4 linked regions of the Notamacropus eugenii genome follow. The protein of the gene in region 4 interacts with the protein of the main gene of each other region in a biochemical or structural test. Links are inferred from orthologs where the notes say so. Each region holds a gene or a part of one and is shown on either strand. Other genes may lie near its edges.

What was found.
Region 1: of the proteins of UBE2I (region 4) and TRPS1, one has a biochemical effect on the other in vitro, tested with the Homo sapiens proteins (2 studies listed by BioGRID). The link is inferred for Notamacropus eugenii from reciprocal best matches to the Homo sapiens genes UBE2I and TRPS1.
Region 2: the proteins of UBE2I (region 4) and RBBP8 form a complex in vitro, tested with the Homo sapiens proteins (2 studies listed by BioGRID, with this or other methods). The link is inferred for Notamacropus eugenii from reciprocal best matches to the Homo sapiens genes UBE2I and RBBP8.
Region 3: of the proteins of UBE2I (region 4) and DAXX, one has a biochemical effect on the other in vitro, tested with the Homo sapiens proteins (5 studies listed by BioGRID and IntAct, with this or other methods). The link is inferred for Notamacropus eugenii from reciprocal best matches to the Homo sapiens genes UBE2I and DAXX.

What each region holds. Positions count from the first base shown.
Region 1 is NC_092875.1:130,540,501-130,547,495, reverse strand, and holds the start of TRPS1 (zinc finger transcription factor Trps1), read right to left. Parts: upstream 3,018-6,995; 5' UTR 2,547-3,017; intron 2,191-2,546; exon of another isoform or gene 1,815-2,190; coding exon of another isoform or gene 1,805-1,814; intron 1-1,804. UniProt on the Homo sapiens protein: Transcriptional repressor. Binds specifically to GATA sequences and represses expression of GATA-regulated genes at selected sites and stages in vertebrate development. Regulates chondrocyte proliferation and differentiation.
Region 2 is NC_092875.1:246,866,821-246,874,723, reverse strand, and holds the start of RBBP8 (DNA endonuclease RBBP8), read right to left. Parts: upstream 3,002-7,903; 5' UTR 2,864-3,001; exon of another isoform or gene 2,857-2,863; intron 1,143-2,856; exon of another isoform or gene 1,004-1,142; intron 1-1,003. UniProt on the Homo sapiens protein: Endonuclease that cooperates with the MRE11-RAD50-NBN (MRN) complex in DNA-end resection, the first step of double-strand break (DSB) repair through the homologous recombination (HR) pathway.
Region 3 is NC_092873.1:89,342,505-89,350,429, forward strand, and holds the start of DAXX (death domain-associated protein 6), read right to left. Parts: upstream 3,004-7,925; 5' UTR 2,913-3,003; intron 2,066-2,912; exon of another isoform or gene 2,036-2,065; 5' UTR 2,020-2,035; coding exon 1,813-2,019; intron 1,641-1,812; coding exon 818-1,640; intron 702-817; coding exon 487-701; intron 307-486; coding exon 90-306; intron 1-89. Other genes in the region: SMIM40 (small integral membrane protein 40), read right to left, coding at 5,054-5,296. UniProt on the Homo sapiens protein: Transcription corepressor known to repress transcriptional potential of several sumoylated transcription factors. Down-regulates basal and activated transcription.
Region 4 is NC_092872.1:49,691,974-49,699,987, forward strand, and holds the start of UBE2I (SUMO-conjugating enzyme UBC9), read right to left. Parts: upstream 3,012-8,014; 5' UTR 2,782-3,011; intron 2,519-2,781; exon of another isoform or gene 2,311-2,518; intron 1-2,310. UniProt on the Homo sapiens protein: Accepts the ubiquitin-like proteins SUMO1, SUMO2, SUMO3, SUMO4 and SUMO1P1/SUMO5 from the UBLE1A-UBLE1B E1 complex and catalyzes their covalent attachment to other proteins with the help of an E3 ligase such as RANBP2, CBX4 and ZNF451.

The sequences.
Region 1 (6,995 bases), on a different chromosome or scaffold from region 4:
AGAAGAAGAAGAAGAAGAAGAAGAAGAAGAAGAAGAAGAGAAAGAAGAAGAAGAAGAAGAGGAAGAGGAAGAGGAGGAGGAGGAGAAGGCAGAGGAGGAGGAGATAAACTCAAAGGAGAATAGCTTTGACTTGCTGGATAAATCAAGTCATTAATAAACTCACGTAAAATAAAAAAAAAATAAAATAAAATCTTTAAAGTGCTAGTATTATTTCCAGACAGCGTTGTCAGCATGACAACTTACAGGAAATACTTCATTTTCTCATACAAGCCCTGTATTTATTCACAGCCCTGGCATACTATTAAAAAAAATTCTCGCCGTTTTGGAGTTTGTTTGCTTTTTTACATTAATGTGGTGGAATATCTGAGACAGCTTTCTAGTTGAATGCACATCATGTAAGAACTTCAAAAACAGTGAATGCAGTTCAGAAACTTTCATTCTCATTTCGTCCACGTCAAGCACTGGCTTTCACCATTACTTTCCTTTGCCCCCTTGCATTTCTAACTCTGGCAATCTTTTCCAAATGATCAACTTTTCCTAAAAACAAGAGGAAAGTAATTTGATGCCATCAAAATCCATAGGTTTTTCACTTCATCGCTAGAGATTTCTGATGGACTAGTTAGAGGTTCTTTCTTTCTTATTCTTTTTATTAGTCAAAGTAAGTAAAGTGCAGGGCTTTAGTTATCATTACTGGATGATTTTTGTCCCAGGCAGGCCCTATCTGGATTGCCCCTTTGTACTTATTCTGACTCTCTGACCTCTCCCTCTCTCTTCCAGGTAAATTTAGAAAAGTTTAACAAATCTACTTAACTTCTGCATAACTTAACTCTTCCTGACTTTATACTTCACATTTCCTCATTTAAAAGTTTACTGCCAATTTTTCAAAAGCAGCATCAAATTGTAGAATAGGAGAGAAAAGAAATAATCTTATTTGAATTTTATTTTCCTTCATCTTTTAAAGCTTTCTTGCCCATAACTTTCTAACGATCAATACTCTGAAATCTGAAAGTATGGGAGTGGGAACGAGGAAGGGGGAGAATGGAGAACCTAATTTTACTGAGTCGAAGATCCGGTCTCAATCCCGAAAAACATAAATTGCTTTAAAGTCCTGAAGCCATAAAAGTTACTGCCTTCCCCAGGCAAACACCACCATCTCAGGCAGGTACTAACAAAAAAGCTCTCCAAGTCACAAAACAACTTCAAACAACTACCACCCCAGGTCCCATCCTCAAATTGCTCATGGGGTCCTAGAATGGTGGAGATATTTGGAGGCACAGTGGTGTCTGCCATGGCCCTTCAAAGATCCTTTTCCCAAGACCAACATCAAAGCCCAGGGAGCACCAGCTTCAGAAGGCTGAGAGACTGCTTGCATAGCCCTCCATGGGCCACTTAAATTCAAACTACTGTGGTAGCTTTTAATAATTAGCCCCACTGTCACCACTACCCCCAACACACTTTCCCATCATGGACTAAAATAGGAAGTCTTCCTCTTTCTCACAGCCCCCATTCATTTAAAGAACCGTCTCTTTCTTAAAGCCCTGTCATACAAAATGAAAATCGCAAAAGCAAACTGGCCCAAGACTCTAGAAACCACTCCCGACACAGACACCAGAATATGGGGACACTGAAACTCTGCCTCTAAAGAGAGAGGGAAAAAAAGTTTTATGCCTGGGTCTGATAGTTTTCTCAAAGCCACCCAGAATCAGGTCCTCCTTGCCATTCAGAGGACCAGGAAAAGGACCCCATTCGCTTCGCCTCTCTCCTTTCATTCCTTCCCAACCCTAAAAAGTTTCTCCCAACTTACTACTCTTCATGATGGTCTCTAGTTTCTGCCCCGCTTGTCATGATTCCCATAAAACTTCCAGCAGCAGCAGCAGCAGCAGCAGCAGCGGCGGCGGCAGTAACAACACCAGCAGCAGCAGCCTGGGCTATGACTGCAGCAGCTCCTCAGTTGCAATCTCCTCCTGCTCTTCTACTTTGCCCGATGGTAGGGAATTAAAATCAGAAAGAAAGAGACGAGGGGGAGAGGGGAACGGGGGAAAAGGGAGGGGGTGGGGGGGACATCAGCCCTGAAACTTCTTTTTTGGCAAATGGGGATTTGTTTTTCCTCCTCCTCAGCAGCTGAACTTGACCCTCCTGACTCCAGGGGCTACTGCAGTTTGAAGTCGCCAATTTCCAGGGCTCACATGCCTTTGACCCACCAAAACCGGGGAGGGGGGGGGGGTGAGAAGAAAAGAAAGGGGGGAAAAAGAAAGAAAACACACACGCATAAAAAAATGCATGTGAAATCCGAGAAGCCTCTCTGCTTTGCTTTTTACTCTCTCTCTCTCCGTTTTGCAAAGAAAGTCACTTTTAATTCCCAATCCTCCTCTCTCAGCTCACCCACATTTCGCACACACAGAGAACACTTTAGCATGGCCACACTCAGCGTGCGCAATATTATCTTACGTAGCGAGAAAGAAAAGCTGATCACCCCCATGCCTTTCTTTTTCCTCCTGCTGATCTCTCTCTCTCTCCCTCTTTGCCTTTTTTCCCCTCCTCCTTACCTGTTGATTAATCGGCAATAATAACCTCAGCAGCCCGAAAGATGGTGGAGCGGTGGCTAGAGCCATGAACCGTCTTCTGTTGTTTGCAGAGTTGATCTTGGATTATTCAGGGGGGGCGGGGGGGTGGTGGTGTGGAGGGGGGGAGAAAAAAAAGGTTTTTCCTGCCTCCCCCCCTCTCTTTTCCCTCCCCCCCCTCTTTTAAAGAGAGAGAGAGAGAAAGAGAAAGGAAATAGATCTAGGATGTGCCTGATGTGGGTTTTTGGGTTTTGTTTTTTTTTTTGCTTTTCTGTTTTAAAGAAGAAAAAAAAAAGCGAAAACCCAGGGTCTGGAGCAACAACAAGCACCAAAAAAGAGGAGGCTTTAGATTGCAGTGAGATCAGTTCTTTATCAGAAATGTTATCGCTTGTCAGGACCTCGAGCATTACGTCAGTTTCAAGACACCAACACTATTAATATCAAAGGAGCCTTCGCAGAGGAAAGCGCCACCCCAGCCTGAGCTCCCTTAAAGAGACAGTACCGCCGCCGCCGCCGCCGCTGCCGCCTCCTGCAACTCCTCCTCCTGAGCCCAAGGCAGCATCCGCTGCGGCCGCCAAGGGGGAAAGGACGGCTTGGGAGCAGACAATTATTACGAGTTTGAAAGAGCTCCACTGTAGTGGAACATCCGAAAGGGAAGCCACCCCCTTCCCCCACACTCCCATACACACACCCGGGCTTTCTTACCGTGATATTTTACACGACCCCATCTAAAAAGCTGACCAGCCTCCCTCCGCACTGTACCCCCTCCCTCTCTATCTATATCTCTGTGGTAGTGAAGGGGAGCGGGGGGGTGAGTCTGAAAGTTTTATGGGGAATAGGCAAAGCCATCAAGCACTTACCTTAAAGGGAGGGCAAGGAAAGCGGGGGATGGGGAGGATGGGGAGGGGGGTGCCTGAACTAATGTCAAGAAAGGACCCCGAGACTGGTGCTATGACTTAAAAGGAGGGGAGGAGTTCTATGAAAGTTAAGTCTTTTAAAATTTTTATCTTCCTTTATTTACTTTCTCTTCTTTTCCTACCTCTTTATTAAGACTCCACAGGATTTATGCGTGTGTGTATTTGTGTTTGAGAGAGAGAGAGAGAGAGAGAGATAAAGGAATCTAAGGCCACCTCCTTGGTGGTTAGTGTTTTACTTGCATTTTATTACAAGAGAGCTGGGACAGAACAACTTGAACTTTTTCCTAAGTTGGAAAAGTGCAGAGGGATGTTACTGGACTTTTCTGATCTAAGGATACCTCTCTGGGATAAGTTCAGGGATTCCATCAAGCAAATAAAACTGGAATGTCTTTCCAATATTCATAGAGATGAATAGTTATTGTTTGGCTTTTCTGTGAACAGATAAGGAGCCATGAATAGACTTTTTTGTAGACTTTTAAAAATATATTTCACATTTTTATTTGAGAACCCTCATTGTTTCTAATCAATTCCTGACTGTTTCTGAATATGATGTTTTTCACCTCTAAAGCTCATCAGCGTATAAAAAATTACCATGAATATTCAAACCATAGTAGGTGTTAAAAAAAAATAAACATTTATTGGGCATTTGGACATAATTTTTTCTCACTTGGATGACTTTAAGTGACATGTTTTTCCTCTGTACAAGTCATTTTGAACTAATTCTGTGCTCAATGGAGAAACAGCTTATTAAAATTATGAAATGATTTAAAATAGAAATTAAAAAGGCAAGATCATGAAAATGTTAGGTAAAAATGAAGTAATTTCCTCAAAAAATATTTTCCCCGGAAAATGGTTCTTTCGTCTTTCTTTACAAGGAAGATGGTAAACATATTTTGTGATATAGACTATCTTCTGAGATGAAAAAGCAAATCAAATGTAAATTAGAAAACTGAAGCATATGTCTTTTAGAGTCATCATTCTTCTCTTGTATGATCTCCATTTATGTTTATTGCATACCTAGACAGGCAGATTTGTTAGGCGATTCCTTTTTAGTACACGTTTATCCCCTAAGTATTTTTGTAAGGTGTCTATTACACTCTTTATGGGTAAAAGGGCAATAATTCATTGGAATAGAGAAACTTGTCAAGCAAAAGGGGTAGTCAAAATACAATTTCACAATGAGGCACACAATATATTCCCTGAAGGTGGGATAAGAACACTAACCACTTATATACATAGAACTACTCATATATTATCATCAATTGAAATTAATTTTGGAACAGAGTTACATTTATACAATATATATTATATAAAGTCCAGCATGAAGGGAAAATTAATATCAAAATCTTCAGTAAATCTTACAGTCAGCTACTAATAGCCATCTGCATACTTATACACTGGAGTCATTTAATATCGTCAACCACCAATTTCCACAGTAAAAGACATTTATATTTTTAAAATAGACCTTTAATTTTTTTTAAAAAGCTATAAATGAAATTGTTGACCTACATGGAAATATGTGTGGCACCTCAAAAAGAATTGTATCCAAAAAGAAAGATTGGAGTAAGACGTTCATTTGCCATGACATACTTAAAAGTTTGATTTATGGAGTGTGTCTACCATATAAATACGAGGTAGTAGACTTTAAATTATGTTTCTGATAATTACCAGGCTACTCTCACAAAAAAGTTTATATGCTAAAGGGTTAAAATACTGAAAATGACTGAAGCTGTTATTTGAATAAAATTATCTGAGGCTAGAGGATCTTAGAAGCAAGGTTGAAGTAGTAAATGTATAACAAGGGCTGTCTTCTATACCCTCTTCTCTTCTCCTTCCAAAAAAAATCTTACATAGATAAACTGTATTGGTAGAAGAAATTTTAAAGTTAAATGAGCTTCTTCCTAGTTCTCCTTATTTCCAACTTAACTTGTAAGAATACAAATCTTATTTATAGCAAATACTCAATGATTAAATAAATGGGCAAAATTAAAGTACATGCCTTCAAAAGGACAAAAGCTTTGAAATGACCTGCATTTTTCTACCTGTAATAATGTAAAACTCTACCAACAAGTACACCCTAAATTATATATTATACAAAAAGCCAAGACCAATTGTCTAAGGATCAATTATGTCCCTTAAATGAAAGGCTGAAGTGACACTTCAGGTACTAACACCCATCAGTGCTGTTCATGATCACTGAAAATTGAAGCTTTAATAAATTCTTTCACAAACTCAATGTTACTGACATTTCCCTGAAATAAAAAAAAAAGGAAAATCTCTTCTAGTTGCTTTCTTTCTATATTTCAAGTTAAAGTAAAGCAGATCAAGATGATGTCAATATCAATCCATTTACATTGACCACAAAAGATCTGTAGAGAACTTAATAAAAGCACAAAATATTTTCGTAAACCTTTTCAGGCAAATTACTTATTTATTTATGAAATAATTTATGAAGAAAATTTTTACCTCATGCTTTAGATACATTGCATATGCTCATGATTGACACAATATGTTCAAGCTCAAAGGCCCTCCTAGCCCTTTTTTTATCCTAGTAGGAATATTTCAAAACAACCAACTAATACATGAGGTCATAATTGTTTGACAGTTGTTTTCAATATATAAAATAAGTTGTGTATATTGATTTTCTTCAAATATTTGTTGATTTGTTTTTATAGATATATTGTCTTGACATTTGCATAGCATACTCTAGATTAAGGGAATATTAAAGGTTTATTTGCATTTTTTATCTTCTGTTGTCAAATAAATGCAAAGCACTTTAAGTCATTCTTTTATTTTGTTCTTATTTTAAATTTATTTCTGTACAGTGGTTAAAATGCCAACTTGTGCTTTTTGTGACAGACTAGAAAATAAAGCAGAAATTAAGAAAAATCTAAAAGCAAACAAAAGAAACACCGATCTACTTAAACAGAGGGAAGCAGAAATAACTTCTTTATAATCCTTCCTATTTCCTTTAACTCTGGGATAATCTTTATTGGATGGGCCACTGTTAGAATGATTCCTTATGGTGGATAAAGCCCATTATTTATCAAGATGACATAACATGCCTTTCCTGCCTCATTATTTAAATGTCCTTTTTTCCCCCTTTTCTTGTAGTTTATTCAGTGTAGATACAAAGAGGGATTAGCAGTTAAGCATAAGTATACTTGTTTTACAATTTCAACCTTTTAGCACATAACTTACTTACTTACAGTACTAGTGCCTGTAATCACAATGATTTTACCTGATGGAACATGCATTTCAGAAATGTAATCCAACTGTTTACTCTAACACGTCATAAATAGCAATTCTTTTCAGAACCCTCAGAGATTGACAACCCTGCTCCTAAATGCCTTTTGCTTTAGCACACATCATCAAGAAAACATTTATGTATTATTCTCCTTCTGGTTAGCACTATATCATACGATTTTAGTATAGTCTACTTTGCTTTCCAGTATTTCATAATGAGTCTTTCAGAAGCATTTACTTCAGCACTGTGCACTCTTTCATAGCAAGAATT
Region 2 (7,903 bases), on a different chromosome or scaffold from region 4:
GTAATGAATTCTAGTTTGTGATTCCCCCTATATGTGACTGAGGTAAAGAAGTGAGTTATAGGACTTGAGACTGAAGAATTGGGAGAATGGAACATTTGTGGCTATTCAAGTCCCCTAGTAGAACAGGATTTGGGAAGGAAATTAATATTGTGAACCTGGTACTAAAAGCCAAGAAAGTAGGGGAATATGACCTGGGGATCAGTATGACACAAGTAAAATGTGGATTCTGTGAAATGTTCAAAGGAGAACAAAAATAAAAAAGAAATCGATAGTCCCAAACAAGGGGAAAAAAAAACCTAAATGGGCTGCTAGATCTAATTCTCTGTAACAAAATTTCTGTACTTGGCAATAGAGATTAAGTATCTCTAAAAGACACAACATGCTTTTCAGATAATAAAACTGAAAAGATAAACTGTGAAACAATGCACTATATTTCGATACAATCATGAGTGATAAAACTTTTAGGATCTCCCACCTATCCTTTAGGCCTACTACAGTTTATAAAAGAAAGCTATTTACTTTATAGGAGTCATCCTACAGAAGACATAATTATGTATTCTCTGCACTATAACCTATTTTATTTTCATAAATTCTAAAATCCTTTATCAATATGCCCCCATGCTCCCTTTCAGCACTAAAATCTATGATCCTATGTGGAAATTCTAACTTGCAGTGAACCATTCCTATCCTGAATTTCTACAGCATTTACCTTGTCAAATTCTTTTAAATATTTAAAATATGCTACCTCCTCAATTAAATTTTAAGTTCCTCATGAGACAAGTGTGGTGTCTTATACTTTTGTATTCCCTAGAACTGTGCTAATCTGTTATCTTGAGTGTAAAATTAATTATGAACCTTATCAATTTAGCCAATATGTTAATGACCCACTAGGTGGCAAAGCAGTGATGCTAAGGATAAATAGATGAAAGTCTCAGTCCTTGAGGAATTTACAATCTAATGTGATAGATAAGACAGACAATCACAGTCTGTGCTCGATACTTACCCTTTACCCTTCACTCTAGAGGCAGCTGCATGTGATGAAGGGTGGTTAAGGCTTGCAGTTAGGAGAGCTGTGTTCCATTCCAGCTCCAACATTTTACTAGCCGTGTAATCATAGTCAAGTCACGTGTCAGTTTACTTATCTGTAAAATGGGGATCAGAGTTTCACAGATTTGGGAATGGATAGGATCTTTGAGGTCATCTAATCTAACATCCTCATGTAATTACCCAGGACAATAAGGCTCAAAGAAATCAAATGATCTATTCAGGATCACACAGGAAGTAGTACAAGAACCAATATTTGAATTCAAGATTTGACTGATCCAGCACTGTTTTCTGCTGTAAATAGTTAGATTACCTTGCAGGACTGTTTTGGTAAAGGACTTTATAAATCATGTATATGTGTGTGTATATACAAGCATATATATCATATATATCAAGCATATATAGTGCTTGATAAACCCTTTATATGTATACAAAGCATACACACACATACACAAGTTTTATGAAGTACTAGATTTAGAGTTAGCACATCTGGGTTTAAATTGCAGCTCTGCTGGTTCGTTAGCCATGTGTATTTTCTAGGCCTAGGGTTAATCATTTTTTAAAAAGAACTGGACTAAATCTCCAAGACCTCTTTTAATACTAAATCTTATATGAAAGATCTAGAGAAAGTGGCAAGCAAAATGTAGAAACAGATCACTTTAGAGGGCTGGAGCACGTACGTAATAGAACACTTCACAGAGGTGACACCTGAGCTGAGTGAAACTTGAAAGAAGAGTTTGTGAACAAGAAATCTACAGATTCTTGTATTCTAGACAAGGGGGGCAGTCTATGCATATGGCCGGAAGGAGTACAGACACCTAAGCAAATAGGAGTAGAATGAAATAAGGTAGCAAAGGTAGTTTGGAATCAGATTCTAGAGGTCTTTCACTACTAGGTAAATGAGTTTTTATTTTATCCTACAGGCAAAAGGGGAATGACAACATGGGATCAACGCATCAGGAGGGTCATTTTAACAAACATATAAAAAACATTTTAAAGAGATGAGAGACTGAAGGCAGGGCAACTAGTTAGGAAACTTACTGCAACAGTCCACGAGAAAGGTAAAGGGAGAGAGGGACTGCCTTGAACTAAGGCAGTGGTAACGTGTGGTCTGGAGAGACTGCCAAGGCAGAACCTACAGGTCTTGGCAATTCTTCAGACGAAGCAGTTCGAAGGGCATTCAGGGTTTGGGGCTCCAAGGAGGACATACTGAAATTCAGGCACTAAAGATGTCCAACAAGGTTTCGCAAACATCTTTTCAGCTTAGTTTAAAACTGTATGAAGAGCCTGCATAGGACTAGAGCTCAGGGCAAAGATAAGGAGCTAGACACAGAGGCGGGAGTTATCTCACTTAATTTAAACTGAGACGAGACGAGACAATCTCAGTGCTTTACAAGACCAAAAGAAAAGAGAAGGCAACCCTGCCCTGACGGACGAGCTTCCATCGGCGCTCTCAGGGCTCGCCCCGCACCGGGCACCGGGCGCCGCGGGCACGCAGCCGGGTTCTCGCCCTCGGGTCTCCCTGGCAAGTCGCTCCACTCATGGGGGGAAGACCGGACAGCGGACCGGTCCCGCGCCCCCGACCTCAGCGAGCCCGGCAGGAGGGCAAGCCCGTAAGCAGCGGGCACGGGCAGGGGGCGGGGCCGGGCCCGGCCCCTCTCCGGGCCTCAGTTTCCTCATCCGGCAAACGAAGGCGTGGAACCACAGGGCAGCCTCTCTGGGATCACTTTGAACCATAAGCCGGGACCCGAGTCCTGGCACTCGCCCGCCCTCCACCCACTCCTCCCCAGCACGCTCCCAAAGCCGACTCACCACTTACCCCAGGGCGCGCTCGTGGGGGGAGACGGGGGATGGCTTCTCGCCACCCTACCGGAAGTGGGGGGAACTCCCGGCAACGGGACCGAAAGATCCGGGGAAACGCGGGGCAGCCGGACTCCGCACAAAGACCTCCGGGCGTCGGCAAGACGGAGAAGCGGTCCCGGTAAAGGAGCAGGACTGCAGTGAGGCGTTCGCCCTCTCCACTCCCCCCCCTCCCCCAGCGTCCGAGCCCGGCCAGCGGAACTTCGGCCCTGAGGCCAGCCCGCGCTTTTGGGGGGGAGGGGAAGGGGCGGAGGGAAAGATAGCTGGTGCGAGCTGCCAAGAGCCGGCCCGAGCCGGCCCCGCCCCTTCATCGGGGACGCGGCGAGACGTCACGAGGTTGGGCTTCCCCGTCCTCCCCCCGCCTCGGCTCGGTTCCCCGGCTCGCGCCAGGCCCCGCCCCTTCGCCCCTCCTTAAAAGGGCGGGCGGGGCGCGAGGGGCCGGCTTCGTCTTAGCGCTAACGGTTTGGGCGAAGAAAAGTCGGGCCGGCAGAGGCCTTTGGGGGATACCTTGGAGGGGGCAGAAACCCCGGGCATCTGTGCAGAGGTCTCAGGAGGTATCAGAACTTGGATGGGAAAAAATGTCAACCCGAACAGCCGAAATCTTTCTCTTCACTAACCGTTATAATGCATTTCCTACTTTTATAAATTAACCTAATTTTAAAAAACCAAAGTATTTAAAAAAAATACCCCAGGGGATGCGTAGGCTTTACCAGACTGGCATACGAGGTGTATGGCACAAAAAGGTCGAGAGCCCCGCGCTGGGCAATTGTGGGTCTTACAGGTCGTGCCCAAGAAGGGCCTTTTGATGGAGGATGTGCGGAGGGCTTGGTGCGCGTTATCTGATTTACTGGGAAGTAAAGGTAGTAAGCGGAGGCCCCCAAAGTGTGACGGAAGTGACTGGAGTTAGACGACTACCCCTGGTCTTTCGATTGCGAAGTAATCGTAAATGGGCATTTTTTAGGAATCAGGCACCCTGCCAGGTCTGGAGGATACATTTCAAAATAATAGGGAAATGCCCTCAATGACTATATTCGTGTATGAACGTATAGAACTGTAAAATATTTTTATATAATGATTATCACAAAATATACACAAACTCTAAGTTAATATATTGGGGGTAAGGTGGTTGTGATCAGGAGAAACACCATGCTGTGATGATCTGGGGCGAGCACAGGAAGAAACTAAGGATTCTGTGAGGTAGAGGTGAATAGGGGGTGCATTCCAGGCTTGGGGGGCAATTTGTGGAAAGACTAAGTATCCTATGTTCGAGGAAGGGTAGGATGGCCAGTTTGGCTCTGCATGGTGGTGTGTGTCAAAGAGCTAACTGGATAAATCTGGAAAAAGCAGGTTGGAGCCTAATTTTGAAGAGCTTTGTATTCATTGACTCTTTCACTACTGTCTTCCTTAAGCTTTAGCTCTCAGGATATTTGAGTTATTTTAGAAAATAATCTAGCTAAATTCAATATATGGCTTTACATATAATGGAGAAAATGAGCCCAATACCAAACACAAAATTAGGTGATACTGGACACAATTGTGCTGAGAATTTTGAGTTGGTTTTTTATCTCCTATAACTATTACATCTATAGACTGAAGAAGGTTTAAGTTGTTTGATATAACAGAACCTAGTAGAATTTCATTATCTCAAAACCCAATCTGTTTTGCTAAAAACGATGAAATAATTAATTTGAGGAAAAATTGAGAAGCTTAAGGCAGCTGGTACGTTTTGAAAAGCTAAAAATTTTTATCTATGGTACAATAATCCTATGCACTGGCCCAAAATATTCACTTCTTTATGGTACTTATGGCAAGATTTATCTGACATAAAGTGCTCTTCATGTTTGCCACCCACCTTGCATATGAAGAAAGTGCTTTCTATCTTTAAGAATAATCGAAATTAAGCCAAGGAATACTGACTAAATAATGCTTATTTTGTTCTTTATGAAAATTGTAAAATAACAGTGTTATTTTAAATAAAATATGCTACACTTAAGCAAAGTTGAAAGCATTAAAATCTTAAGTATTTTTGAGGACTGGAGTTAAATGCTTTACGTCAAGAAAGGAAATCCTGTATTAATGGGCTTGTTGTATGTTACATAGCAGAGTTAAGAGGGTCTTTTTTTCTTTGGGGAGGGATATATAATTTTTTTCCTCTCTTAGTTTACACAGTGACATAGGAAACTGAGTTACATGAAGCCCGTACTCTAGCAGAGGTGTTATGCATCTTTTAGTAAGGTGGCTTGTAATGCCATCATCTAATTTGGACTAGATTCAATATGACTAGTTTCAGAACAAGAAAAAAGGAATTGTTTTAGAAGTCATTATAAGAAGCAGTTTCTTAACTTTTCTTCGAGAGTAAAGAAGATAGCTTACAGGCCACGTGGAGTTGAGGAAGCAAATGCAATTTCAAAGCCCTTTTTTGTGCCCTCTCCAGAAACTATATACAAGGGAAAAGGCAAAATAGAAGCCTGAAGTCATCACTAAAGACTACTTGGACTATAGTCCAAGCAAAAAGATAGCTCCTTAAACTTAAATTCATATATATTAGAGTCCAGATCATCAGATTGTAAATTCCCTTAGAATCTTCCTTCCAATTACATTTACATCCTCCAAAGCTCAATAGTATGCACATAATCAGAGCTAACTAACATTTATATAGTGCTTACGAGGTACTAGGCACTGTGCTAAGTACTTTACAGTTATTTTCTCATTTGATCCTCACAACAATCCTGGGGAGTAGTTTTACAGATGAAGAAATTGAAGCAAATAGAGGTTAAGTTACTTGCACCCACTAAGGCACACAGCTAATTAAGGGTCTGTGGTCTTCTGACTCCAAATCCAGTGCTCACAGATTTCTGAAATTTGTAAAGCAGGTGCTAGTAATATTAGCTACCAGACCCATGAATGTTGTGTTATTTTATGTCTTGGTGAGCCTGAGTAGGTTGAAAAAATCAAATAAAAATGAGAAAGTGTTGGGATTATTTTATAGTTATTTCTCAAGAAAACCACAGTTATAGATCCCCAAAATCCAGTTGAATTATAATTCCAGCCATTTGGGGATATATAAATTAAATAACTTGCCTCTGGGCTTCTCTCAAAGGAATGTTTTATAGCTAATTAAATGACTGTAAAGTACTTGTATGAATACAATGAAGTGCTAATTAATGAAATGAGAAAAGATAATTCTGCCTGTATTCAAATATATCAGTGGTCTTTTTTGGGTAATAGAACAAAAGTATTAAGATACAGGTAGATTAGGTAAGATACAAGTAAATTATGGTGACTTCATAAAAACTCAGAATTGAGATCAATGTCTGAAATTCATTAGCTTTATGAATTCCTTCTCTGGAATTAAAATGATCTAATTCTCCCCTCCTCTTTTTCCCCCAGGAAGCTGAAGTATATTATCTCCCTTTATCATTTTGGAGGTACATGTGTAGGCAATTGTTTCCTTGGAGGCAGAGAAGTTTTGGGAGTTACTGCTTTAGCATTATTGTGTGCCAGTTAGTACATCGAAAAATCCTGACTTAAGCTGTCAGATCTAATACCTGGTGTTTAAAACAAACAAACAATACATATACATACAAATATGTGTATGTGTGCATGTGTGTGTATATATATATATGTACAGAAGATATGAACTATTCTGAATTTAAGTTGCACATGGTTAACTTATATCCTTATAATTAGTTAGTTTCATTTATTTAATTTCTTAAAGAATTCATGATTTCACTGCTGTGTGTCTTACCCCACCCCATTCTCCACCTTCCACATCCCACACCCTCCATACCAGACTGAGACGTTGAAGTGGTACGGTAGACAGAACATTAGGTCTGAAGTCAGGAAGACTTTTCAAATATGGCCTCAGACACTAACTATCTTGGTGACCCTGAGTACTTTCTCAGTACTTACAACCTCTGTTTGTCTCAGTTTCCTCAAATGTAAATTGGGGACAATAGTACCTACCTCAGTGTCTTTGCCAAGAAAATCTCAAATGGAGTCACAAAGAGTCACACATGACTCAATCAACTAACAACAACCACCTAGGGTTAGTTGTGAGAATCAAAGAAAAGGTATTTATAAAAAGCTTAGCACAGTGTCTAGCTCTAGCACACAGTAAGTACTATATAAACCGTCATCATCATTGTTATCATTAGATTGGATCCCTCTTTAACTTTAGCTAATGGTCTTAAAGTGTTGTTGTAGGCAAGAAATTTATCACCTTGTGGCCAGCCTGGTGAATAGGTCCCCTTCAAACTTGGCCTGACTAGTTGATCCACAATAGATTACAGTCTCTCACCTGCCAGACTTAAAGTTTTTCTAGCTTGGAAGGACCTGCCAGAACTTGTATTCTGCTTGCCTAGCCTTTGAGAGCTCAGGATCTCATCCAGAACTTGATGAAGCATCAGAGAAGGACTTCCGTGGAAGAACTACTGGAAACTACAAGAATTTTGTTTCATATTATTTTAAACCAGGTATGAAGAAGACTATGACCTAAGGGAAAGATAAGAGAAACTAATGAGTGCTTTTTATCTCCAGACAGAACTACTAATCCTAAAGCGAGTTATGCACTAGAGCTATTTGCACTGTTGCAGAAGAAAAGTTAAAAAAAAAAAAAAAGACAAGAGGATAACTGCTTGAGGCAGGGGGAAGCACCTGGAAATGAGTTCTAGGATCATGAATCTGGAGTTGATTGAGGTCATCCAGACTAACTTCTTATTTTACAGATGAGGAAACAGAAGTCTATTGTTACATAACTGTTTTATAACAAGTGAAGATTCAAATTCAGTCATTCTGACTCCAAGTTCCGGCATTTCCCCCCACTATACCCTTAAGCGCTTTAATGTTATAACAGAAATTGTAGAAACAATGTTTGCAATAGTATGTATAGGGAGAGGAGTGGAATATTCAAGGATGCAAATTGCTGACACATAGCTCCCACTATAATTTGAGCTGTCCAAAAGTGGAATGGCTTGCCTCGAGAAGTGATAGATTCCCC
Region 3 (7,925 bases), on a different chromosome or scaffold from region 4:
AGAAAATGGGAGTGCAAGATGGGAAACTGAATATGGAGGGAGAAAACAACTTGGGAATGGTACTTGGGAATGGCATCCTCACATAATACCTGGCTCATCTTCCTCCCCTGGGCCCTCCTGGCTCTCTTCCATCTCTTCCTCTGAATCGGTGAGCTCCTCATCTTCATCTTCATCCTCTTCCTCCTCTTCATCTTCATCATCATCATCATCATCTTCATCTTCATCCTCCTCCTCCTCCTCCTCCTCTTCATCTGTCTCAACTTTGGAGACAGTGGGGCAGGATGTGGACTTTTCTCCACTAGGGCCCTGCAAGAGAGGGAAGGCCTTTAATGAAACCATTCTCCTAAATCTTTATTCTCCTGAGTATTTCACCTCCCACAACCAGTTACTCTCTTCCCCACAGATTCCCTGTATAAGACCTGGGCAGGATTCAGTCCTTCAGAAATATCTGATCTGACATTGGCATCCCCTGTCCTGCCTCCATACCTCTCCCGAGTCTGTGGATGCTGTTGGAAGGTCTTCATTGTGAGGAGAGTTTCCTTGGCAAAACCGGGCTCTCCTTCTCTGTCTCTCACCCTCTTCACTCTCATCTTGCATCATTGCATATTTAGAGATCACTTCATCCAGCCGACTGAGTGCCAAGTTTCTGTTCTCCCGAAGCCTACGAGCCAGGACAGGGTCTGACAATGCAGGGTCAATGCCTGAGGTAGGAGGGAGGTGTGCAGTGTGAAGACATGGAACCAGAACGCCTAGCTCCAAAGCCTAAGGAGTAACACCCTCCCCACAGGTCTAGTGTGTGTGGCCCCACTCCCTGTACCTGGCCTATAGTCATCTGTGAGGTGACAGCCAAAGTTGTAGACAAGATCAAGATGGCGCCGCTCCTGTAACTTGGTGCCAACATCTCGAAAGGCATCCTGAGCGAGAAGCTGGAGCTGTCGCCTTGGGAGGCAGAGGCCATGTCTCGTGGCTGCCTTCTCCACAGCCCGAAGGACATCCCCATAGTCAGGAAAGGTGTCTGGACCAGGCCTATTGATGAGACGCTCCACACGGCGGTTGACCTCTGGGTATCGAGTGCCCCGATAGGGTATCCGTTGCTCAGTCACACGGCCTGTCAGGGAGCTACATGCTTTTAACTCACACAGACGCCCAAAGAGTCCTAGCAGCTTGCGTTTCAGCCGCCCCTCCTGCAAATATGCAGAGTCCGGGTCATCTAGCTCCGATAGGTCCAGCTCCTTTTCTTGTAGTCGTTTTATCTCTCCCACGTACAATGCCAGCAGCTGCTCTAAGCGCTGGATCTGTCTCCGTGAACCTCGGGGTCGTGGGGAGCCAGGAGCAGTTTCATTGGTAGGGGCAGGGTTGGAGGAAGGATTGGCAGGAGGTGCATCCCCAGGGGGCTCAGTGGAAGCAGGGGTCAGGGGCACCTTCCTTTTGATCGAGTGCGCTTTGAGCAGTGTACAAAGCTCATTAATGAAGACATAGAGCTTGGTAGGCCGGGTTTGGGCACGAGAGAGGACACGAGACAGCACATTTCGGAGCTCAGCTGAGGCCAGGAACGTAGGACGAGCACGTTGCCTTCGGTTACAGAGGTATGGGACGACCTCAGGGTGTTCTCCAGTTTGCTTCTTACACAGATCAAGAAACTGGGGTGGAGCAGGGGAGGGTGAAGGGGGAAGTCCGAGGGATTGGAGGAAATGAAACAAGGGAGAAGGTTGAGAAAAACAGAAAGATAGAGTTAGTAGGACAAAGTGATTAAGGACAGCTTCTTTGGCTCCCCCTCCCTGGTGCATAAGAACCTTCTCCCCTGCAGCTCACCTCTTCAAACAGCTTCTCATTCTCCAGCTGGTAGCATTTCTTGCTGCCCCCACTACTGCTGCTGCCTTCCCCACTGGACTGGGGAGAATCAGAGGTTGCTGCCAGGGGTTGGGCCTGATTTGGGGGTGGAGAGGAAGGCCCTGGCTGGGCAGCTGCTTCATCCTCCTCCTCATCATCCAGTACGATAATGCTGTTAGCGGCAGCCATGGGGGGAGCGAAGCCCCTGGTGGGGGTGTTGGGGATTTCAGGAATCCTGCTGGGGGGGATGGGGCCTCAGAGACAGCCCCTCCAGGACATCCCCCCCATTCTCACACCTTATAGCATCAGTCTCACGTTACTCAATAGATGCCTGCTCCCCCCTCCCCTGCTCATTGCCTACCCAAGGATTTCTCGGTCTGACCTCCCTGTCGTGAGAGTGTCTAGTCCTCTGAGACAAGGCTGACTCCACAAGCTTTCTCCAAGGCCCCCAACCTCCTCCCCACCCCAAAACTCTAAAGTCCCACCCATTTGGCTCCAACCCTCAATCCTCTCCCCTCCACTTCCGGTCCCATCTTCTCTGCTGCCAGCCACCAGGATCTTATTCTTTCTTAAAACATCAGCCCTGTGTCAGGCACCAGCAGGGCTGCCATCCTTGCCCTCCGTGCGGCCCATCTCACACCCGTTAAAGACCGATTCTCTCTGCTCCGCTCCTCAAATCTTCATTCACCCAGCCTCTCTGTCTGCCTGTCTGTCCTCGCCTCTCCCTTCGGGGCTGTCAGCAGCGCAGCAGTCCCGGGGCTTTCCTTGGGCACGGGCCCGGCGGACGCTTCCTCCTGTCCTCATGGTCCCCGCTCACGGCCCCCTCGCCGGACCGCAGAAGCCCCTAGCCAAGCCCCCCCGTAGGCGCTTCTGGGCCCCCGCCCCCCCATTCTCGCACTCACTCCCATACACATACACACACACACATATATATATACATGCGCGCGCGCCCCCGTGCGCGCACGCGCTTCCTCCTCAAGGGAGAGTCTCCGGCCGCCTTCCCCCTCTCCCCACCCCAGCCTTGTCACCGGGTCCTCCCCTCAGACTCTTCCCTCCTCCCGCCTGCCTCGTGAGGCCCCCACCTCAGAAACAGTCCCTACGCCGCGGCCGCCGCCTCCACCGTCGCTGTCCGTCCCTCCCCCCTCCCCCTTGCCCCCCGCTCCGTCACCCTCAGCTCTCCCTCTCCCTCTCTCTCACACTCTCCGCCCCCCCTCCCGCGTCAGACAACGCGCAGGAACGGAAGCGATCATGTCTCAGCCCCGCCCCGTACGTCCCTGGGCGCCGCCATCCCACCCTAATGGAGTCAACCGAGGGATATAGGAAGTGACGACACACAAACTACCTGCTGGATCCCTCTGCGGGAGACGGACTGCAAGTCTCCCGGTGGTTTCATTGGCCCACTCCGACCAAATGCCTCAGAGGGGAGGGCTTCTCTGAGGCCTGAGGACTCGGAAGTCCTTGAGGGGAAAGGGGGGGCCATCTTGCCGTACGGCATTCCTCAAGACTGAGGGAACCCAATCTAATCGAGGCCAGGCAGTGGGGAATGGATATACCTCCGGGGATTTGCCAACCCGTGGTCACGAGATGGAACCCTTGCTCCACCAATCAGACACCGGCGTCCCTCTGCTCTCCCTATCGTTTGCCCAATAGCGCTCCCAAACTAGTATTGGCGGGTGGGAGGGTGCATGGAGGGGGGCGGGGAGATCACTGTAGTGGACCGTTCGGTCCATTGCGGGGAGGAACCGTCTGTCCCAGGCCTGCCAGAAGGACTTAGGCGAGCTACGAAGGGAAAGTTTTCTTCCAAGGCTTATATTGCTGTCTGACCCTGCCTCCACCTCTGGTGCGTGCCCAGGCCACTCCGACCTTCCAAACCGCCTCTTGGAGCCCCAAGAACCGGCCTGGGGGCTGCGGGTTCTGTGAATCGGGATTATTCCTCTCCGTACGGAATGTGTGCGCGTAAGTAATCATTCTCTCCACCGCTCAGGAGAGTCATGTAAACAGTAGCGATCTCGAACCTTGGGGGCCGAAGAGCAAAACGCCGACTCAGCGTCAGTGCCCTCAAAGGTCACCGTGGCAACCCAGGGACGGGAGAGCTGGCCCCGCACACCCGGCGCTGCGGCTTACCTGCCGTACCGCAAGATGGCGGCCTCCAGGGCGTGGGGATGCGCCCGTCTCGCCTTGCGGGGTGGGGGCGGGGAGCTCTTGCTTCAGACTCTCTCTTCATCTGGGGGTCCCGGGGCTGGAGGGGACCGCCCTGTGGGAATGGCCGGTGGACCCTGAGCACTTAGTGATGATGGGGAAGGTGAAGGGCGTCCAGAGTCCAAGACTGGAAACGAGGCTTTTAAAAAACCAATGGCCTCTTTCTGCCTGGGCGAGTGGGGGGGAGAGAAGAGGAAAGGAGCGGAGGCTGACGCTTCTCACAGAACCCCAGCTTTATTGGGGGGAGTGGGGAGGCCGGGGGGACACAGGACTGGTCCTGGCGCGTGTTCTGGTCCCTGGCGGGGGAGAAAGCAGGGTTAACAAGACTGGGGCAGCGGGGGCGCCCCCTCCTACCTCCCACGGAGCCTGGGTATGTCCCCCTCTTTCTTCAAGTGTCCTAGCTACGGAGGAGCCCTGGGCTCTAGTTCTGCTTCAGCTCGAATGTCTTCCCCTCTTTGGGACTCAGTTTCCTCCTTTATAAAGTAGCAGGTGAACTAGATCATCCGAGGAAGCTGGGTGTCGCAGAGGACCGAATGCTGGGCCTGAGTTCAAGTCCTGCCCCGCACACTCGTGGGCAAGCTGTTTAAAACCTGCCTGCCTTAATTTCTTCCTACTTAAAATAGGGGCCGTAATAGAACCTCTCACCTCCCAGGGGTATAATCAGGAACAAATGAGATAATATTTGCAAAGCACTTTGTAAACCTCCAAGTTCTCTGTAAATACTAGTTATTATTATTAGCTCCCCTTCCATGAGGGGCTCCCAGCTGTCAGCCCTCCACCCAGGGCTCTTCCAAACTTTTTCATCTTTGGAGCCTCCCATGGCCCTCCCCTCCCCCCACCTTGTCAGAAACTTGTCTGATATCTTACAGAAGCAATGGGAGCCGTTCACTGTGAGCTCCCTCTTCTCTCTTCCTTTCCTGTTATTCTCTACTCCTTTACCACCGTCTCACATGATTCCTCCCAGGAAACCTCAATCTCTGGTCCTGTTTCTCACCTGAGTTGAGAGGGAGGAGTCATTCAGTGATTACAGCTCCAGTTCCTCTTCTCTTTGAGGTGTTCCAAGCAGCCAGCCCCAGAGGTTTGCCCAGGGTATTGGCCACAGCAACTTGTAGGCAGCCTCTAGCATCAGCACTGCCAGGAAGAGGGCAAGAAAAATGAAAAAGGCCCTATCTAGTGCCCGAAGAAAGGGGCCCCTGGGAGGAGTAGGTCCCTGGGCAAATGCCAAGAACACATCTCCCTCATCCGTATCGCCCTCCTCCTCTGCCATCCTGACTTGAAAGCCTTAACAGCTGAGCAGATCACGCTGTACAGGATGGAGACACTGGCTCAGCACTACTTGGATTAGTGGTAATTTAGGGGGGAAGGAGTTTTCTTGTTGCATCTATCCTCTGTGACCTAATTCTCCAGAGACAGAAATAATAACTATAACATATAGCCCTTTAAAGTTTTCAAAGTGATTTACATATATTAGTATGCAGTCTTAGAAGGAGTAGACTATTAGACTGAATCATTCAATCACAAGTGTAAACTATAGGTATATTAATCAATTTGAAAGAATTGTAGGACTGATCATTGGATGAAGACAGATAAATGACATCACACTGGAAAAACCTGTGTTTATAGAAATAGAAATATACCTGGGACCCTAGTTGTAGAAGAGTTACAATCCTGTGGATTCAAGTTTTATCCAAACCTGTAAGAGGGAATTGCGCTACCTATTAACCATGGTATTGTAAAGATGTTATTGGATCAATAATAGAGTTTATCCAGCTACTAGGCCAGTAGCAGAGAGTACATATGGCAGGGAGGCATCAAAGACCATAAAACTCTCATGGCAGAGAGAACTGACCAGCTATTAATTCTATAAGTCACTGACCTTCCAAGCCCAACAGATGCTGCTACTCCTCAAGAGAACTTCGTGAAGATTCTTTGAAAGAAGAACCAGACTACTACTAACCAGGAATCTTGAATTACCCCTTTGCCATGTGTGCCTCACACCCTTTGTGCTTTACATTTCTACCTGCTCTATCCATCAATCTTGTGTGTTTTTGTTGGGGAGTATACCCAGAGGTGGGGGGGGGGGGATTTTTTTTCCCCAGCTACCATTCTTGCCACTGTATTTCAAGTCTATACCATCATAGTAAATACCTTCATTAAAAATTATTTTGAGGACATTAGAGGATTATCAATGGGAAGCACATCAGTGGGGGCTCCTGAGCTAGAAACTCACTTCCTCACAGCTACCCCTAAGACACTGAAAGTGGTAGATAGTCACTCCGGGAATTCAGCTGGCCAATATAAATGAGAATTGGGGAAATGGCCAGAGGGAGTGTTGCCCATACATTTGAGACATGCCACAACCCTTAAGATAGGCCCACTTTACAGATGATGAAATAAGGCTCAGAGAGCCTTATTATTATTGACTTACCCACAGTTACACAGATGCTGAGTATGACCAGAAACAAAAAAATTTCCTGATTCCAAAGTCTGGCTGCATCTGTTATACCTCCAGGAACTAAAGGCTTTTCATTCTGACATGTAAACAGTCCCAAATGCCCATGGTGCAAGGGCTACCTGTACTGACACCACATTGACTGTACTACTTGATCAGGAAAATCCTTACTCGGGAGACTGAAATTGGCAGCTGGGCCCCTGCACCATTCCTCTTTCCTGCCATTACCTCAAAAATATGCAACAACTTCTAAATCCCAAGTCTGCCCAAATAGGTCTATGAGCGAAGGAAGCACTGAATCCTCTTCCTGTGTGTAAGCGTAGGTGTTCCTGCAGACCTAAACTTCTTCTCGTATTTGAGAATTCTGGGGTACTGGTTTTCATAGAAACAAACCTATGGAATGTCAGAGCTGGAAGAGACTTCAGCAATAATCTAGCGTAAGGAAGGAGGAGACTTAGGCTCACCGAGGGGGCGTGACTTGTTCCACAAGGTCTCACAGTGAGTTTGTCAGTTTATAAAATTGTTAATGATATGACAGTTAATAAGAAATAATTTTGAAGAATTGTTTTGGGAGTAATTAAATCTTGGTATCAGTAAATGAATATCTAATCCAAAAAGTCAATATTAATACATCTTTTCATTTTAGGAAAGGAGGAAAGAGATGTTAGAAATTTCCTTTTTAACTGAAGAGTTACATGCACTAGTGGGGCAGTTAGGTGGTGCAGTGGATAGAGCAGGATAGAGCAGGTGAGTTCAAATCTCACCTCAGACACTTGACACTCACTAGCTGTGCGACCTTGGCCAAGTCACTTAACCTCAATTGCCTCATCCTGGGTCATCTCCAGTCATCCTGATGAATATCTGCTCACAGGATTCAGATGGCTCTGGAGGAGAAGTGAGGCTGGTGATCTGCACATCCTTCCCTCAGTCAAAACAAAGTCAAGTGCAAGTCATGTCATCATTTCTCTGATGGCATGGTCTTCTTTGGCAGCAAAGGACAAACATACACATGCAAATAATCTCTCTGCCATAGGATCTTCCCTTTACTAGGGCACTGGAGGAAGATAGGTGAGTGGGATAGGTGAATACTTCTTAGTAACATGGCCAGATTAAGCAGGTCTAAGTTTCCTTTTCCCTAAAGTGACATGATTAATAGAAACCCGAAATTTATGAAACCCAAGACCCAAGTGCCACCTCAGCCCACGCAATCCAAAAACGATTATGAATTTTGCTTGAAATCTGTATTGGCTGAACTTCTGTTTCCTTGTTCCGTGTAAGGGGATTAGTTTTCCGTGTTTAGATTGTAAGCCTGACCCCCAGTCAATGGGGGGAAAAGGGTCAGCTGTTGGGGGGGGTGGTTTGGGGGAGTTTCCGTGTTAGAAGTATATAACCACACTTTTGCCTTCTGTAAGCTGCTTCTCCCTGACTGCTGGTCGGATTGGAG
Region 4 (8,014 bases):
GTAAAAATGCTCTTAAGCACAGAGTTAAACTGAAATACTGCAATTTTATTTCTTCCTTACAATCCCTTTGATAATGGCTTGATCCTTACATGATAGACTGAATCACACTTAAAATGCTTCATATTCCCATTACACCTTCTATAACCCTCAGGTACATAACAGAAACTAAGAGATCCATCACTTAGTGAAACAAAGTTCTGGCACATCTGTTTAACAATTCAGAACTAGAAACTGAAACCACTCTAAAGTATCTATCTCCTAACCATTCAAGACTCTGGGATGTGATCTATTTTTGTAATGGAACCACAATAAATTTGTAATGAATCCAAAATTTATCTAAATCCTAGAAAAGTCCCTCTTGACATCAGATTCTAACAGCATTTTCCCTATTAATGAGACATTTAAGATGTTTTTAAACCACCATTCCTTTTAAGTCTAGAAAAAGTTTAAGTTTAAAAAAAAAGTTTAAATTATGGAGCTGAATTTCTAATTTCACTTTATTTTAAATGCAACTTTATTCTAATCATCCCCATAATAACAACACTATTAACTGTGACAGTGAAAAACAAAAACATTAAAAAAAATTTTAATGCGTCCCATCATCTGGAATTAGTACACTCCAGGAAAACCTTTGGTATTAGCAATGTTGCTTTGATTTTAAGCCACTAAAACCAAAAAATGACTGACAGTCATTTCTTTGTCTGTTCAAATTTTCTGTATGTTTAAGATTGCTAACTGGGCCTAACAACCAAAGAAATAATTGTAAAAAAGTCTTTTTTGTTGGACTTATGGTACATTTTGTGTTCTTGCCAACTTTGTCTTCCCCTCTCACAACTGAAAATTGGACTGTCCTTTCACTCTTCCTAAAGGGACAAGGCATCTCTGAAACACTGCCAAAAATGCAAGAGGGAATGGATATTTTTCTTTAAAAAGTGAAGAGAATTCAAGAATAAAGGTAGAGAAGATTTCAAAAAAGCATGAGTATGTAGGGGGTAAGAAGATGTATATAGATTCTACTATGAAAGGATAAAAGAAAGGGCAATCCAGTTTTCCCTCTTACTAACTTCTGTCAATTTCGGCTCTCTATCAGGCAAGTCTTATCTAGCAAACCCAAGAGCTGTTAACAATAAAATCAAGCCCAGAGATTACAAGAATACGGGGAAAAAAAATAAAAAAAAATGAGTATCCCACGTTCTCTTAATCCAACCAATCCCATTTTGGCTGTGTGTCCCTTTCAAAGACCTGATGGATTGTTACTTTTTTTTTTCGGAGGTGGGGCAAAAGTGGGAGCAGTCAAAATGACCCTACTATCACTGAGAAGCTAAATAACCCAATTGAGTTTTTCTCTACCTCTAGATCATTTTTAAAGTTACTTCAGTAAGATCACAGGGAATTTTGGACTATAATTCACTCATCCCATCAGCCTCTCACTGAAGTTTCACGTGGGTATTATTTTGGTTGCTGTGCTACTACCGTAACACCGGATAACTGGGTCCGTACTTAGAGAAAAACTCAATTCCAGGGGCCTTTAAGTTCCTCAGCAGTGCACACAACCTAGAAGTCTGATCATTCAAAATTGTTGGGAAAAGATGCCATGGGGGAGGGGGGTTTGGAGAGACAGGGTGGAACATGTGAGCAGCCTTGGAATACTGTTTTTAAGAAAGCCACCACATTCCCAGGACAGCTCTCTGCGCTATTTTTACGTACCCCTTTCTCAGCTCCCCCAAATCCCTCCATCTCTCTACTAACAGGACTTAATGCGAACAATCAGGCAGCCGAAGGAGGGAGGCGACTCCATCTCGACGTGTGACCTTGGGCCAGTCCCTTTCGCCTCCCTAAGCCTCAGTTTCTCTCTACAGAAGAGGAGCCTCGAACAAGACGAGCTCTTGGGTCTCTTCTGTCCGAGACCTCTCGGCTTGGATGACTCCTCCTCCACGTCTACCTACTTTGAGTGGCCCGTCGGGGGCCTCAGAGAGTCCCAGGAGGGAGGGATGGAGGACAGCAGCTGGCGGCCGAGGCCAGACTGCCCCCCCACCCCCACCCTAGCCTCCTCGGGGAGGACAGATTCGCCGGAGCGGCCCGGCCCAGTCCCCAGGGAGGGAAGCGTCCCAGCTCCCAGCCGGTCTCCGGGCCCGGAAGCCTCGCTCCATTTCCCAGACCGGGTACGGCCCGATGGCTGCAGCCTCGGGAGAAGAGGAGGGAGCGGGGCCGGGCCGGGCCTCGCCAGGAGGGAGGAGGAGAGCGGCGCTGCTACTGCCGCTGCCGCCGGGCCCAGCTCTGCCCGGCCCGGCCCAGAGGGGCTAGCCTCACCTCAGCACGGCCGCGGCCCCCGGCAAGTGTCCCGGATAGAGGCGGAAGGTGCCCGGATGGTCGGTGGCTACGGCGGCGTTTCCCTTTGTCTCGGGACTTTCCCTCCGGAGCCCGCTCCGCGCGCAGCCGGACCCAAGACGGCAGGACCCCGGCGCGGCGCGGCGCGGGGCGGGGCGGGGGGAGGGGGAGGAAGCCGCGGGCTGCCCCGCCGCCCGCCTGCGCCCGCGCGCTGCCGCCGCCTCCACCCCCGCCGCTGCTGCGGCTCCCCTTCCCCCACCCCTTCTCGCCCGTGCCTTCTAAGTCCCTCCGGCCCCACTGGCTAGGCGGGTTCGCCTCCCCAGGGAGCACGACGGGGTACGAACTTCGGGCGTAGGGACCCCCGAGGAGTAATTTCTTCCACAGGCAGGGACTTAGCTACCTGTACACTTAAAGGAGCCGCGACCCTAATACTAGGGATCATCTGCAAACTACCTTTCGGAATGAGTTCGTTCATCTGAAGATACGCGTTGAAGGAATACAGAAAAGGGGACGCAGGAAATCCCAATGGCTCTTCGGATGCTCGGAGGGAGACCCCAAGGCTTCCAATCCCCGAGGTCCCCTAGTCAGATAGAACCAAGAATCTTGGGGAAAAATCCACTGAGGCCTACAGATCAACCCGAGCATCTCAGTGTCCAGATGATCCCCACAAGCACAGAGACCTCTGAAACCCTTCCGGATTGGTCACTTCTGAGAAATGGGCGGGGCTTACCTCATATTCAACCAATGAGAGGGATCGGTACAAAACTCCGGATCCTGCCGGATAGACGGAAGTAGAATTGTAGACGGTCCCTAAGTGACAGCGGGGGCCAGAGAGGAATGGGGGAGGGGCAGGCTACAGTGTGGGGGAGGGGCGAGAGCGAAGGACCCGGAGCCAGGGCGGGGGAGGAATTTAGTGGGCGATCCTCGAAAGGCCTCCCTCCTTCGGCCTAACTCGAGGCCCTCCCTCCCGTATGTAGTGTAGACTTTCCTTCGCTTGGGTCCAGAGCAGGCGGGGGCGGGGGGAGACTTCGAGAGCCCCGGCTTGGCCCGGGCCCAACCAGGCCGAGCTTCCGGCGAGGCTCGGGCATGGCCTCCTCCCACTACCCGCCCCGGGGTCCTCCGAATGTAGACTCGTAGCCCTGGAAGCTGCCAGGGAGCTTGGAAGGCATCCCTTCTCCTGGACGGCGGGGCCCCCGGGCCCAGAGAGGCCGGGCGCTGGGCCAAGGTCATTGAGGCATTCGAATTCAGACCCCCCCATTCCCAAGGTCATCTCCGGCCTTACCCATGGGTCTCTGTGTTTGCTAGATTAGAAAGGCTGAGCTGGGGACGTTCCATGGAGGGGGCCGAAAAGGTGACGTCCATCAGCATCTAGGAGAAGCTGCTTAAGTCTGTCCCAAGAGATCGGAAGAGACCTTAGCAATACCTTTCTCGTGCCACCTCCCAGACCCAGCTCTCATGCATTCTCCAAGAAGTCTTCCTCTGATGCCCCAATTTGGAAGTGATATACCTTTAGAATGGAAAGAACCTTAGAGGTAATTTTACACATGGGTGGCTCCCTGTTGCCTATACAATAAAACACACCACTGTCCATGATGCAATTTCAGCTGTGGATGAGCGTGGGCTGTTCCTCTATAACTGGGATATATTTTATTTCTTCATTTGGCAAAATCCATTCCTTCAGCCCAGGGGCCACCTCTTCCTTGAAGCCTTTTCTGATCCACCCCAAATTTTCGTAGATTAGTTCAACTGGAGTTATTCCTTTGCTCTTGTGCTGTTTTATTTTGTATCTTATTTGTGGACACAAAGCCTCCTTCCCTAAGGCAGCTAGGTGGCATAGTGCATAGACTGCTGGTCCTTGAGCTAGGAAGACTCTTCTTGCTGAGTTCAGATCTGGCCTTGGACACTGAGTAGCCATGTGGCCGTAGACAAACCACTTAACCTTGTGTACTGCAGTTTCCTCACCTGTCAAATGAGTGGGAGAAGGAAATGGCAAACCACTGCAATTTTTTTGCCAAGAAAACTCCCAGTGGAGTCACAGAGAGGCTTGCACAACTGGATAACAACAGCTTCCTCTCAAGTAGATTGTACACTAATTGAGGTCAGGAATGGTTTCATTTTCTGCCTCTGTGTATCACCTGGCAATGCCTCTCAACTCTTAAGAAGGTCCTGCCAAACATGGTATCCCACCTCCAAGGTGCTCTGTATCGCTTCAGATGCAGAGATCAAAACTCACATGCCCTCGATGATGTGTTTACTTATCAGTCATACAACTAATTCAAAGCAAAGGCATTTAATGAAATTGCATGGAAAGAAAAGTAATAAAACATTTCCCCCATAAATCTAATGCAGACACATCCACAGATAGATATTGGGAAGGGTAGACATGTAGGCCAGTGGACACACAGGACAGACTTACAGTTTTGACCTAATAATGATGTTCTCTGGTACTGTTATAGCACTGCTCTTGCTGGGCCTCCTTTCAACTGACATCCTGAGGCATTTGGTCTCTGCCAAGTGTATAGGCTTTGGTGGGTTTTCTGGGCATGATGTGTAGTCTCTGCTGTTAGGCATTCCTACCACTTGACTTTTCTGATTATTTTGTAACTTCTACCACAACTGGGTTCATTGGAAATGAGTTTATGGTTTATATAGGCTCTAAATAGTTCTTAGTATATGCCTAGTTACTGATTGATTTCAGCTTTTGGCTGCAGCTGGTGCCTAGAGGTGCTAAGATGCACCTCTTAAAGAATTAGCACAGCTGGCTCTCCTTTTACCTTAAAGGCTTAAGATACAGCTCTTTTAGAAAGAGAGGGCTCTTTCTATTCCCAGTAATGAGGCTAGGGAAAATCCTTAGGACTTTGGCTTTTTCTTGGAGACTTTATGAGTTCTCAGAGCCTTGGTCCCTTCTAGATCCTAACTCTACCATCACAAGGCATTGGGATGTTAAATGTTTGCATCAGTCACCCCATCCCACTTTAAGGAATTACCTTACCTCTCTTAGAACACTTCTATTGAGTCAATCAACCAGAACTGTTAAAGTAGGTGCACAAAATGCTTAAACGGTTTGGAAGGAGTGGAAGTCATTGACTGAGATCAAATGATGAGGAACAGAAAGTATTTGGGATTGGTTAAAGAGCCAAGTGGGTCTGTATAAAATAACAAGTCAGTTGGAATTTCAGCTGGGATTTGAGTAACAGGCCAGCTCGGGGGTCCGAGGAGTTCCAGCTAAGTCCCTAGGAGGGAATTACTTGTCTAGGAAGAGAAAGGCCTCTTTCTCTTTCCATCTCTTTTTGAACTTCAGAGGGTTGGAGGATATAAAATTCTCTTGTATTCTACCAGTGTTCCTGGTATCACAGTTGCTGTTAGCATTTTCTTCGGGAATTGAGGACAAACTAGACTTTAGGAAAAGAGTTTCTTGACTTTATGAGGAGCCCAGCAGAAAACTGCTCCTCCTTCAGAGGACTCTACAAATGGGAGAAAAGGTCTTCTGATCTTCAAGAGCTGTGAGTTAACTCATTGCCACATGTATTCTCTAAGGTTAAGTCCACTTTCCTCTGGACTCTGGATTTACTGTGTGGGAGTATACCTCTGGTGTGAGGTGACATGGGGTGTTTTATAGTAACTGTTCTAATACCATCTTAGTAAACCATCTATTTCTACAAGCTAATGAAATCAACAATCAGTGATGTTTTGTTTGTCCTTCATTTTGGAAGAGGATTAATGACATCACAAGTGATATCTTGACTTATGAATGAACTGAATTTAAGTGAGGCAACATTCAACAAAGTCCCCAGCCTCACCATCTTCTTCCAGAGTCATTGAAGTCCTGTGGGAGGACAAAAGTCAGGACAGCTGGTAATGACCTGGGATGCAGTAGGGGACCTTGGTGTATTCATTGTCTTACCAAGCTCTAAGGGCTCTACAATGCCTGCTTCATCTACCTTCACGGTTGTTGGAACAAATTGTTCTCATCTGCCCATTCCACTTGAGTAAGTCTTCACATGCTTTGGGTGGAAATCCTCCTAACCCATCAATGGGTTTGGGGCCTGTTGGTTACTCTCAACCTAATTTAGCCCATCTGCTAAGAGAGTCTTACTGGGGTGTGGCCACTCCACATGTGGCACCATGTTGGAGCTACAGGTAGGTTGAGCAGCCCTGAAATGGATTTGGTAAGCCCTCCCACCAGAAGTGCTAGTCCTCCCTGAACAGCCCAGGTAGAAGCATGACAATAAGACTAGAAAGTGATTCCTGGCCCCTCAGCATTGCCTCCTAAAACTTGAGAGGAGATGTAGGGACCCAGCCTACTAGTCTGAGTGGGATTTGAGAGGGTGAGTCCTAAGTATGGGCCATGTCAGATTGACCTATGTCTTTGTGTTCCCAGCATGTTGTGTGGATGGCTTAATAAATATTTGATGAGTTCACTTTGAATCTGGGCTACTCCTCTGCCCTTATACATCTCTTACTTAGCAAGAATAAGTGACTTATAATAATGGCTGGCTTTTATATAGCTCCTGTGGTAAGCACTTTTAGTATCTCATTTGAGACTCACAACAACCCTGGGAGGTAGGTGCTATTATTATTTCCATTTTACAGATGAGGAAACTGAGGCAAATAGAGGTTATATGACTTGCCAGTGGCATACATCCAGCACTTCTCTGAGGCTGCATTTAAACTCCAATCTTCCTGACTCCAGGCCTAGTGCTCTATCCACTGCACCACCTTGTTGCTTCCACCTTCCTCGTGGTTTCACAAGTGATCCTTCCCTGTTCATACCTTAAAAATAAGTCTGTCTTCATTCCACAAGCACTTATTCAGCACTCACTTTGTGATAGACAGGATGCTGGGGAAACAAAAACAGGAAACAAAACTGTCCTGCCTTGGAGAAACTTGAGTTCTCTTGTGGGAAAGTGAATACTATGTACACAGATAAGTGAATTACAAAATACATGCAAAGTCAATATAGGACATGGTCTCTTGTGTACTATAGCTATTTCCCAGAATCCTGGAACAATATTTCAAGTTGAAAGGGACCACATAGGCCATCTACAGTAATGCAACCAGTATCTGGCCCATGAATCCAAATTATAACATCCCAAGGAAGTAGTCATTCACCCTCCAAACACCTACAGAAACAAGAAACTAATTAGTCCCACCTCCATCGCCTCAAGGCAACCCACTTTTAGATAGCTCAGACTGTTTGGGAAATTAATTCTTATGCTGAGTCAAGACCTGCCTCTATAACTTCTGCTCTTGGCTTCTAGGTCAACCATCCAGAGGCAAGTAGAACAAGTCCAACCTCTCTTCCCCATAGTTGTCCTTCAACTATTTGAATGAATGACTATGCCTGCTTCAGCAAAACACTCTAAAAAGTTCTGGGGGTATAATCTTTTCTCTAAAAGAAGTTTCAGATTGAAATCAAGTAGAAAGGCACAGGTGTCCTTGAAGTGCAGAAGTGAAGCGGGCGGTAATGTAATATCCTTTGATGTCCTTTCTGTTGATAAAATCATAACTGTTTCTGAAATTGAACCATTGGCCAGGGCTTTGGACTTGGTGACAAGAACTTTCTTTTTTGAGTCTTTAGAGGCTATTGTATTTCAGCAGTGGTTGAGATGTTCAGCTTAGCTGGAAGCAAGAAAAGTGGTCAAGGGCCACTGTTCCTAGGACTCATGGACTATGGGTTCTGGGC